Linked DNA regions of Macaca fascicularis. The protein of the gene in region 1 interacts with the protein of each later gene in a biochemical or structural test. Links are inferred from orthologs where the notes say so. Each region holds a gene or a part of one and is shown in the gene's direction. Other genes may lie near its edges. The genes, in order: PELI1, IRAK4 and UBE2V1.

Region 1 (3,759 bases):
CCTCGAGCATGCTCAGTGCAGAGCGAGCCTGGTCGAGTGCTGGACAACAATGAATCCCTTTTTTCTTCAGCCAGAGAACTACAATTCCCAAGAGCGTTCTCGGCGCGACGACACCGCCTTCCGCTGTGGCCCTGCCTCGTCCCCTCCCTCAGGCCCCGCCCTCCGGTTAGACCCCTCCCCTCCCTGGGAGTGTATGTCAGTGAACCAGAGGCGGTGTGAGGTGGAGGGACCGTCGGGGGGCGCCGCCGCCGCCTCCACCAGCAGCAGCAGTAGCAGCAGCAGCGCCAGCCCCGCGGCGCGGTCGAATTGGTCCCCAGCCCTCCGGGAGTGCACCACGAAGCAGCCCCAACGCCTCTCCCTGCTTCCGCGGCTCCTCAGCGCTCGACTTCGTGGTCAACTTCCCCGCGCTGGGCTCGGCTGGCTGGCGCGGAGGGCAGCGGCGGAACGGCGGGCTGTCTGCTCGTGCTCCCCGCGCACAACACTTCACCCTCTCGCCTCGGGTCTCAGGGGCCGCGCTGGGATCCCGGCCACCAGCAATTGTCCGGTAAGTGTGGCCGCGGGGCGCCGCTGGATGGATGGCGGCGAGGCCGCCGAGGGGCGCGGGGAGGGCGGGCGCGCAACTTCCTCGGCGGCTTCTCCGGCGGCCAGCCAGCCAGCTCTCCCCGCCCGCTGCGCGCCCCCGCGGCGGCGGGGAGCGGAGTTTGCGGCGCCTCCATCCCGCGCCCTGGCAGGAGGAAGCGCCTTTGTCAGGAACCGGCCCTGTGCGGCCTCCCCCTCCGCCCGGGAGCCGGGCGCGCGGCGGCCAACTCCGAGCCCCGCGCCTGGCTGGCCGCGCGCTCAGGCTGCGAGGGGGGTGCTCTGCGGGTGGCGGGTAGGAGAGGGAAATGGGAGAAACAAAAGGGGCGGTGGGTTTCCCTTTTGTTTGTGCGGATCTGATAACTTCTTTTCCTCCCTTACATAACGCAGACTTCCAAGTTAGTCATTCTTTTTATTGTTATGATTGTTGTCATCATCTCCGCGCGTCTTTCACATTTCCTTTCATCTTCGGATCTCAGAGCATTTTAAACACGCTAATTAATTTCACCCCTGGGTCCCCTAGGAAACAATACGCCCGTTTCCCTAAGTGGGTAAACTGAGGTCGTGAAAAGCTCTCTGATGGATACGCTTGATCTTTTACCGCGCCTGGTATCTGAGGATATGAAAGAGTTTATGAGGAAGAACCCGTTCTCAAATGCCCCGTGGAAAAGTTAAAGATGCTCATTTTACTTACAGGTTAGCTGAAGTCCGAAAGATGTCTAGGTAATTGTTACGTAGTTCAAACCATAATTCTTCTTACATAGTGTTTGAATCTTAAAACCTTTAAAGAGTTACTGAGAAATGCTTCGAGTAGGGAAATTAATGTAAATCATAAAGTCACGTCACCATCTACTTTTATTTTTGTACGTGTAGGTCTCTTAGAGGCAAGAGAGCAAGAATGGGACAGAGGGCATAGGTTTTTTAAAAATGTCCATTTAACAGATTTTAATCACTACACAGAAGGAAATGTGCCTTGGTTTTAACAGCACCAACAATATTCCTGTCGTTTAGTCATCAAACAGTATATCAACAAATATTATTGAGAACTTTATTCGTAAGATGCTGGTTGTGCTAAAAACTGAAGCTTTATACTTTATAGATAAGAAAAGGTCATCTGTTTCGGTTCACAGGCTCTACTTTTTCTTACTCTGCAAAATGTTACTTTGTTTTCTTTGCACATAATCTTTTGTTTCAGAAATCGCATTGTCCTTTACTGTGTTGAATATGTATTACTCTCACACTTAAGGAGAAATGAATTTTTTATTCAGTTTGCTTAATAGGGTGAATTTAAAATTTTTTAGTTGTGGAAAAGGTTCACTTTGTTCAGTTCTGTTTCAGTTTACGATGCATCTTCTTTATAGCCAACAGAAAATATTTTCTGAGTGATCAGATTTACATGTCTCAAAACATTGTTCTTACTGTACAAATACAGCATATGAATTCCTTTATTTATATCAACAACCTGTTCTGGATAAAAATCTTTAACTCTGAGGACCTTATTTATTTTGTGAGTTTTTATTTCTTTGGTACCAAACTGGAAAGTACCAAAAATTTAAATCAAGCATCACTTCTACTAGCTCTTTCCTCAGGTAAATAATGATCAGAACTGTAGTAACAGTGAATAGTTTCACTTACTCTAAATTCTCTTACATTTAATTTTGTATTGTGTGGTTGTCCTTACATTTTAGATTTTGGTGGTTGCATCAGAAAATGAAAGTGAGATGTTCGTTATTTTATTTTATTTTTCCAGAGCCTTCTAACCTGTTCCCTTTCTATAGTATGTTAAAAGAGATCTTGAGTTTAACATAAATAATTGGAAAGTAGAACAATTATATGTATGGAAAGTTGCATGTAGTGAAGTGGTTATAATGTCTCATCTAGTGAATTTACAGGTTTTAAAGAGGAAACTATCACCTAGCTTTTTATTGGCATGGTAGAAGTGCTGTAATGTAGTAGTAGTGGTATTTATTTACTTCTAAAAAGCAAGCTGGAAATTTGCCTCAGTGGAGTTTGTAGGGGGAGAGAATCCATCCTTTCCTTAAGATTGACATTTAAATGTTCTTGCAGTTGGTTATGTTGAACTTTTTCTGTGGTATTTTCAAGCCAGATTTACCGGGGACATTTGTACTTTAAGGAAGCTACTAACACTGTCTTGGCTCAGTCACTGGAGTCCGCAGGCAGAAGTTAGTGTTGACTGGCGAAGTCTGGCTTTGCAGGTTTTATAATTTCTTTGAGACCCCTTAAAGGAAATGACTGAAAAGTACGGGGTAGGAAGCTAGTCTAGTACTGCCAAATGCCATTGAGGCAAGTTTCAAAGAGGAAGCCAAAGGATGTTTCCGTTTGATTTAGCTTCAGACTCTTCTGGGTTGTCAGAATGTCACTTTTGTATTTTAAGAGTTCTATCATTTCAGAATATGATTCGTTATGGTTTTCTAGTAGGTCAGGTGATAACGACTATAGATAGTCATTATGCTTCGTGGACAACTAATATTTTTAGGCAGAAGCTTCTACAGCTGATAAAGATTTTAAGCCAAAGACTTAGAATTGAAAACTAACATATACGTGTACATTTTACCATAATACACCAATGTAGACCTATCCTAGTATTTATTAGATTAGAAAGGCTTTTATGGATGATTTTATTATACAAATATATTTAACTGTATATATTAAAATTTCATAATGACTAATATATGATGGCACTGAGGTGGCTTTAGGTGCTCCTTTTGGGGGAAAAAAGTCCTGTTATTCTAAAAGTTACATTTATGTCTTTGAGGAGAGTAAAGCAGATTTAAAAGCCAGTGGAAAAAGGAAGAAAATCAACAAAGTGAAGAAAACCTGATGAAGATGTTTTTAAATAATACAATATAAAGTTTCCTGGCAGCATTCATATATAAGGGACAAAATTCTAGTTGAAGTCTATAAACAGTGAATTCCACTTAGCACTTTCTGTTTATAGATTTCTAGCCATCTTTTCCAGATTCCCTCTGAATATATTACACAAGCAAAGTAAATAGAAGTCATTCTTTCAAGGGATTTGGGTTCTTGGAGTTTTTTTTACACTTGTGGTAGTGGGGGAGGGGAGTGCTTATTATATTTTCTTAGTTTAAGTGTGACCTGTGCCATAGAATATTCCCCTAGACTAATGTGTGGGAACCTCAAGACAAGAAATATTGGTCATTG
Region 2 (3,659 bases), on another chromosome or scaffold:
ACTGCCTTACTCTCTTTACCCATATTCATTATAACTTACAGATTCTTACTAGGTAGCTTCTTGTGTGTGCTGTGAGAATATGAGACCAACCTGTAGAAACTGGAATGATATTAAATGAACCAAGTTTCAGTTTAACTTTTTCACAACCACTTCTTATTACTGAAAAACCACTTGTGTCTTACTTCATTTGTTAGATGCTGTTCCCAAAACTAATACACTACCTTCTAAAGAAGCTGTAACAGTTCAACAAAAACAGATGCCTTTCTATGACAAAGACAGGACATTGATGACACCTCTGCAGAATCTTGAACAAAGCTATATGCCACTTGACTCCTCAAGTCCAGAAAATAAAAGTTTAGAAGTTAGTGATACACGTAAGTAACATTTTCAGTGCTTTCTACTAGTGGATTTGTCATTAAGACTAGCAGTGCTTTAAAAGAAAGCTTTTGTTCTTTTGTTTGTGCAGCAATCACAGGCACACTGGCAATAGCTCTTTTGTGAGTTTTTTCCTCCTGATATATTAAGAACCATCTTCTTTGTGTTAATCAGTGATTAGAGGCAATAGGACATGCAAACAACCAGAGAAGCTATAAAAAAAAAATAAGTAAATATTTACATAACTTGGAAGGGTCACTTTTTAAAATAAAATATGTGACTAGAGTTTTGGGTAGGTAGACTAGACCCACTCAAATGTGTGACTAGAATTTTGGGTGGGTGACTACAGTGTTCAGAGGGTAGGATCACCAAACAGAATTCTCAAGAAAAACTTATAATTTGTATTTTAGAAATGGTTTTATATTCTCCCGTCTTGTCTAATTCAAAATCATAAATATTTACATACATGTGAAATCTTCAAATGAGAAAATATTAGAATTATTAAAACGTATTTTTAAAATTTAAGCATGTTTTTCTTATTTTGACATTATAGGTTTTCACAGTTTTTCATTTTATGAATTGAAGAATGTCACAAATAACTTTGATGAACGACCCATTTCTGTTGGTGGTAATAAAATGGGAGAGGGAGGATTTGGAGTTGTATATAAAGGCTACGTAAATAATGCAACTGTGGCAGTAAAGAAGCTTGCAGCAGTAAGTTATATTTTCAGGAATAAAGAGTTGCTTCATAGTGTGCTCTATAATAAAGTTAATCTTTAGGAAATACATTATTTCAGTATGTATTTTCTTTAAATAAACATCATTCTACATAGTAGTTCTTAAAATTTAAAAATCTGTTGAATGCTATGGACCCTACCCCTAGAAAAATGTAGTTATGTACATATACACACAATCATACATACAATTTTGGAAGATCCACAAACTAAAGTTGAGAAGCCCTGCTCCACATAGTGCCTCATATGTAATCAAGATTAAAATGGTAAGAAACCAGGAAAACTATTTTTAAAAAAAAAACCATGTTTGCATTACTTTTCCCATTTAAAAATAAAGTTTATGAAGTATACATTAAGAAAAAACATTAAAATTTTTTTTATCCGTGTCCTTTGTTGCCATTTCTACTGGAGTGTTCACCTTTTACTTATTGACTAGTTATATTCTAAACCTTTTGTTAGAGCCTAAAAATATCAATAGAATGCATATGTATGTGATAAAGATAGTCACTCTTTGTCATATACATTGCAGGGCTTTTGTAGGTTTTGTTTTCCATTTTGCACTAAAATTGCGTATGTTTTCTGTTTCCTAGAATATTTTTTCAAATTTTTTGTGTAGTGAAATTTCATGCTATTTCATTTTGTTTCCACAACTCAGTGAAATTTATATATATTTTTCATTCCACTAACCAGCCATGGACCTTGAGCAAATCGCTAGTATTTCTAGATCTCAGTTGTTCTGTAGAATTGGGAGAATAATACCTTATTGTTTTAAAGAAAGGGAGATGAGCCAGCTGATCTCTTGATCCCTCTGAGCATTAGGAACCTTAGAATTGTGCAGTATTACACTGTATATTTTATTTTTTCAGATGGTTGACATTACTACTGAAGAACTGAAACAGCAGTTTGATCAAGAAATAAAAGTAATGGCAAAGTAAGTCTTAATTTGGCAGTGCGGTGTAGTGGAAAGGAAAAAGACAAGGAGTAAGGAACCTGGTTCACTCTAGAGTATGCCATGAACTAGTGATGTTTGCACATATATGAAATTAAAATTAAGTGTTTAGAGAAATTGAAAGTACTTTTGGCTCCATAATTCTATGATTACATATACTCATATGCCTGGAGATTAAATAGCAGTCATTTTTATTTATTTATTTATTTTGAGATGGAGTCTCACTGTGTCACCCAAGCTGGAGTGCAGTGGCACCATCTCGGCTCACTGCAACCTCTGCCTCCCAGGTTCAAGCGATTCTCCTGCCTCAGCCTCCCGAGTAGCTGGGACTTCAGGTGTGTGCCATCATGCCTGGCTAATTTTTCTTGTATTTTTAGTAGAGGTGGGGTTTCACCGTGTTAGCCAGGATGGTCTTGATCTCGACCTCATGATCTGCCTGCCTCAGCCTCCCCAAGTGCTGGGATTACAGGCAGGAGCCACTGCGCTTGACCGCAGTCATTATTTTAAGTCACAACAAGGTTACGTGGAATTTTACTATCATGTCCTTCATTATCATGTTTTCTACTTCCAGAATTCATGAGAGATCAATTGTAGAGATACTTAAAAAAACTATCTACAGAATATATAAAGTAGCATCTATACAGCAACTAGAGTCATGTTATCTGCAAAGATAAGCATTTACTCTATGTGCTGTTAGCTGAAGGCAGATATACTTTAAATAAACATCATTCTACATAGTAGTTCTTAAAATTTAAAAATCTGTTGAATGCTATGGACCCTACCCCTAGAAAAATGTAGTTATATACATATACACACAATCATACATACAATTTTGGGAGATTCACAAACTAAAGTTGAGAAGCCCTGCTCCACATAGTATCCACATATATATCTGAAGATATATATATACTTTATATATAAAGTAGCACCTATAAAGCAACTAGAGTCATGTTATCTGCCTTCTCAGCATTGACCCTGTGTGCTGGAAAATTGTTGGACATCATCAGGAAAAGTAGAAGGGACAATGGAGGAAATGTATTCTAATTATTATAGTAATTAATAGTGGTTGATATTTGAGTGTGTACAACATTCCAGACATTGTGCTATGTACCTTATGTGCATTGTCTATCTAACCTTTACAACTATTACAACTGCCCATTTTGTTTGTTAACTGAGATTTAGAAACGTTAAATAGCTTGTCCAAGATCACGTAGCCAGTAAGTGTTAGAGATGGGATTGAAATCCAGATCTGTTTGATTGCAGAGCCTGAACTTTTGATCTGAATCCTAATGGGATTTACCAAATTATACCCATTAAACCCACTGCTGTAAATTACCAATCATAGTTACTTAACCTCAAGTAGGAAGAATACACTAGAATTGACTTATGCATGGTAAAAATGATACACACTGAAAAAAAAATCAAACTTTTTGTTTTTAGTCTTTGTTTTCTCCACTTCTACCCCTACTCTGCAGTTCTAAAAGTAACTTGTTCACAGTAGATAATCTGGAAAATACAGGAAAATATTTTTAAAATATACAAAACCATATGCATGCAGGGCTTAATACCTAGGTGATGGGTTGATAGGTGCAGCAAACCAC
Region 3 (2,443 bases), on another chromosome or scaffold:
TTTGAGAGTCTGAGAGTAATTTGCTTTTGTTTGCCTTGTTGTAGGTGGACCCAAGAGCCATATCAGTGCTAGCAAAATGGCAGAATTCATATAGCATCAAAGTTGTCCTGCAAGAGCTTCGGCGCCTAATGATGTCTAAAGAAAATATGAAACTCCCTCAGCCGCCCGAAGGACAGTGTTACAGCAATTAATCAAAAAGAAAAACCACAGGCCCTTCCCCTTCCCCTTCCCCCCCATTCGATTTAAGCAGTCTTCATTTTCCACAGTAGTAAATTTTCTAGATACATCTTGTAGACCTCAAAGTACTGGAAAGGAAGCTCCCATTCAAAGGAAATTTATCTTAAGATACTGTAAATGATACTAATTTTTTGTCCATTTGAAATATATAAGTTGTGCTATAACAAATCATCCTGTCAAGTGTAACCACTGTCCACGTAGTTGAACTTCTGGGATCAAGAAAGTCTATTTAAATTGATTCCCATCATAACTGGTGGGGCACATCTAACTTAACTGTGAAAAGACACATCACACAATCACCTTGCTGCTGATTACACGGCCTGGGGTCTCTGACTTCTCCCCTTACCCTCCCGCCTCCCACCCTCCCTGCAACAACAGCCCTCTAGCCTGGGGGGCTTGTTAGAGTAGATGTGAAGGTTTCAGGTCGCAGCCTGTGGGACTACTGCTAGGTGTGTGGGGTGCTTCGCCTGCACCCCTGGTTTCTTTAAGTCTTAAATGATGCCCCTTCCAAGCCATCATCCTATTCCCACACTCCTCCACTCCCACCCTTGGCCGAAGCATAGATTGTAACCCCTCCGCTCCCCTCTGAGATTGGCCTTCGGTGAGGAATTCAGGGCTTTCCCCATATCTTCTCTCCCCCACCTTTATCGAGGGGTGCTGCTTTTTCTCCCTCCTCCTCAACTTCCTTTTTGCACCGTCACCACTCAACACCTTCCATGACACTTCCTTGCTTTGGCCAGAAGCCATCAGGTAAGGTTGGAAAGAGTCTCTGACCTCCCTTGTTTAGTTTTGGAACCATACTCACTCACTGTCCACCAGCCTGGGAAATGAATAATGGGGCCTCAGCCCTGCCACCCTCTGCTGTCATCAGCTGATGCATTGTTTTTAGCTCAGGTTTTGATAAGGTGAAAAGAATCGTCACCAGGGTTACTCAGACCTGCCAGCTCTTGGAGTCCTTGGTGGTTGAACTTGGAGAAAGACCACATGAAGACACTTGTAAGCACACATGATCCCTCTGAATTGTTTTACTTTCCTATAATTGTTTTGCTTTTAAAAATTGAAGAAGTTTTAAACAGGGCTTTCATTTGGTCATCCTTGCAATCCATTGGGGTCTAGTTTGGAATCTGACAACTGGAACAAAAAGAACCTTGAATCCGGTGCATGCCTTGGTTTTGGTGCTGCTGCTGCTTCCCAAGATCCTCAGCAGGGATTAAGAAAGAACCCGGTGTGCAAAGCAGATCCCCGAAATTGGTGGGCTTGACCTCCTAGCAAATTGCTGCATCTTTCCACTTGCTGTTCAGGACCACTAAATGCTGAAATGTGGATGCATACCGAAATAAAAGCAATTCATTGTGTACTAAAGGTTTTTTTTTTTTTTAATTTAGTATTTGTGTAAAACCACCTTTTGAAGCAGCAACTATCAAGTCTGAAAAGCAATTGATGTTTCCATTAATCTTTTTCCGGAGGGAAAACCTTAGTTCTAAGGATTTAACATCCTGTAAGTGAAGTTTAACATAACAGTATTCCATAAACAGCCTTTTTATTGTCAGACCATTGCCTGATTTTAATAAAAAAAAAAGTGTGCGTTAATATTTAACAGGCTGTACTCTTCTTCCTCTTGGCATATTAGGGACAGAATTTAATGTTTTAGATGCTTTGGGGTTCTAATTGACATCCTAAAGCAGGGGTCGGCAAACTTTTTCTAAAAGGGCCTAAATTAGTAAATATATAGGCTTTGCAGGCCAAGAGGCAAAATCTGAGGACATTGTGTGAGTACTTATATTCTGAGAGAAAACAGATTTCCCAAATTTGTAATTGGTGAAATTCAAAGTAGAGTTCTGTTTATTTATAATGTTATTGGCCCACTAACATGAGGATTGGAGTTCTTCTAGGAGATAACATGTACTTTAATTGGGATTCATTCATGTTCCCTGTCATCAAGCCTTTTGCAAATGTTCATCTGTAAAAATCATTCTTCATGCTAGAAGCCATACAGAATCAGGCAGTGGGCTAGATTTGGCCCATGGATCATAGTTTGCCAACCCCTGTCCTAAAGATGGTAGGCCTCCTTTTTTTTTTTTTTTTTTTTTTTTTTTTTTTTTTTTGAGACAGAGTTTTGCTCTTGTTGCCCAGGCTGGAGTGCAATGGCATGATAGCTCACTGCAACCGCCACCTCCCAGGTTCAAGCGATTCTCCTGCTTTAGCC

Evidence for each region.
Region 2: of the proteins of PELI1 (region 1) and IRAK4, one has a biochemical effect on the other in vitro, tested with the Homo sapiens proteins (4 studies listed by BioGRID and IntAct). The link is inferred for Macaca fascicularis from reciprocal best matches to the Homo sapiens genes PELI1 and IRAK4.
Region 3: the proteins of PELI1 (region 1) and UBE2V1 form a complex in vitro, tested with the Homo sapiens proteins (3 studies listed by BioGRID). The link is inferred for Macaca fascicularis from reciprocal best matches to the Homo sapiens genes PELI1 and UBE2V1.

What each region holds. Positions count from the first base shown.
Region 1 is NC_088387.1:57,778,203-57,781,961, forward strand, and holds the start of PELI1 (E3 ubiquitin-protein ligase pellino homolog 1), read left to right. Parts: upstream 1-1,178; 5' UTR 1,179-1,272; intron 1,273-3,759. UniProt on the Homo sapiens protein: E3 ubiquitin ligase catalyzing the covalent attachment of ubiquitin moieties onto substrate proteins. Involved in the TLR and IL-1 signaling pathways via interaction with the complex containing IRAK kinases and TRAF6.
Region 2 is NC_088385.1:50,385,007-50,388,665, forward strand, and holds part of IRAK4 (interleukin-1 receptor-associated kinase 4), read left to right. Parts: intron 1-194; coding exon 195-374; intron 375-928; coding exon 929-1,089; intron 1,090-1,975; coding exon 1,976-2,040; intron 2,041-3,659.
Region 3 is NC_088384.1:106,170,914-106,173,356, reverse strand, and holds the end of UBE2V1 (ubiquitin-conjugating enzyme E2 variant 1), read left to right. Parts: intron 1-44; coding exon 45-191; 3' UTR 192-1,834; downstream 1,835-2,443. UniProt on the Homo sapiens protein: Has no ubiquitin ligase activity on its own. The UBE2V1-UBE2N heterodimer catalyzes the synthesis of non-canonical poly-ubiquitin chains that are linked through Lys-63.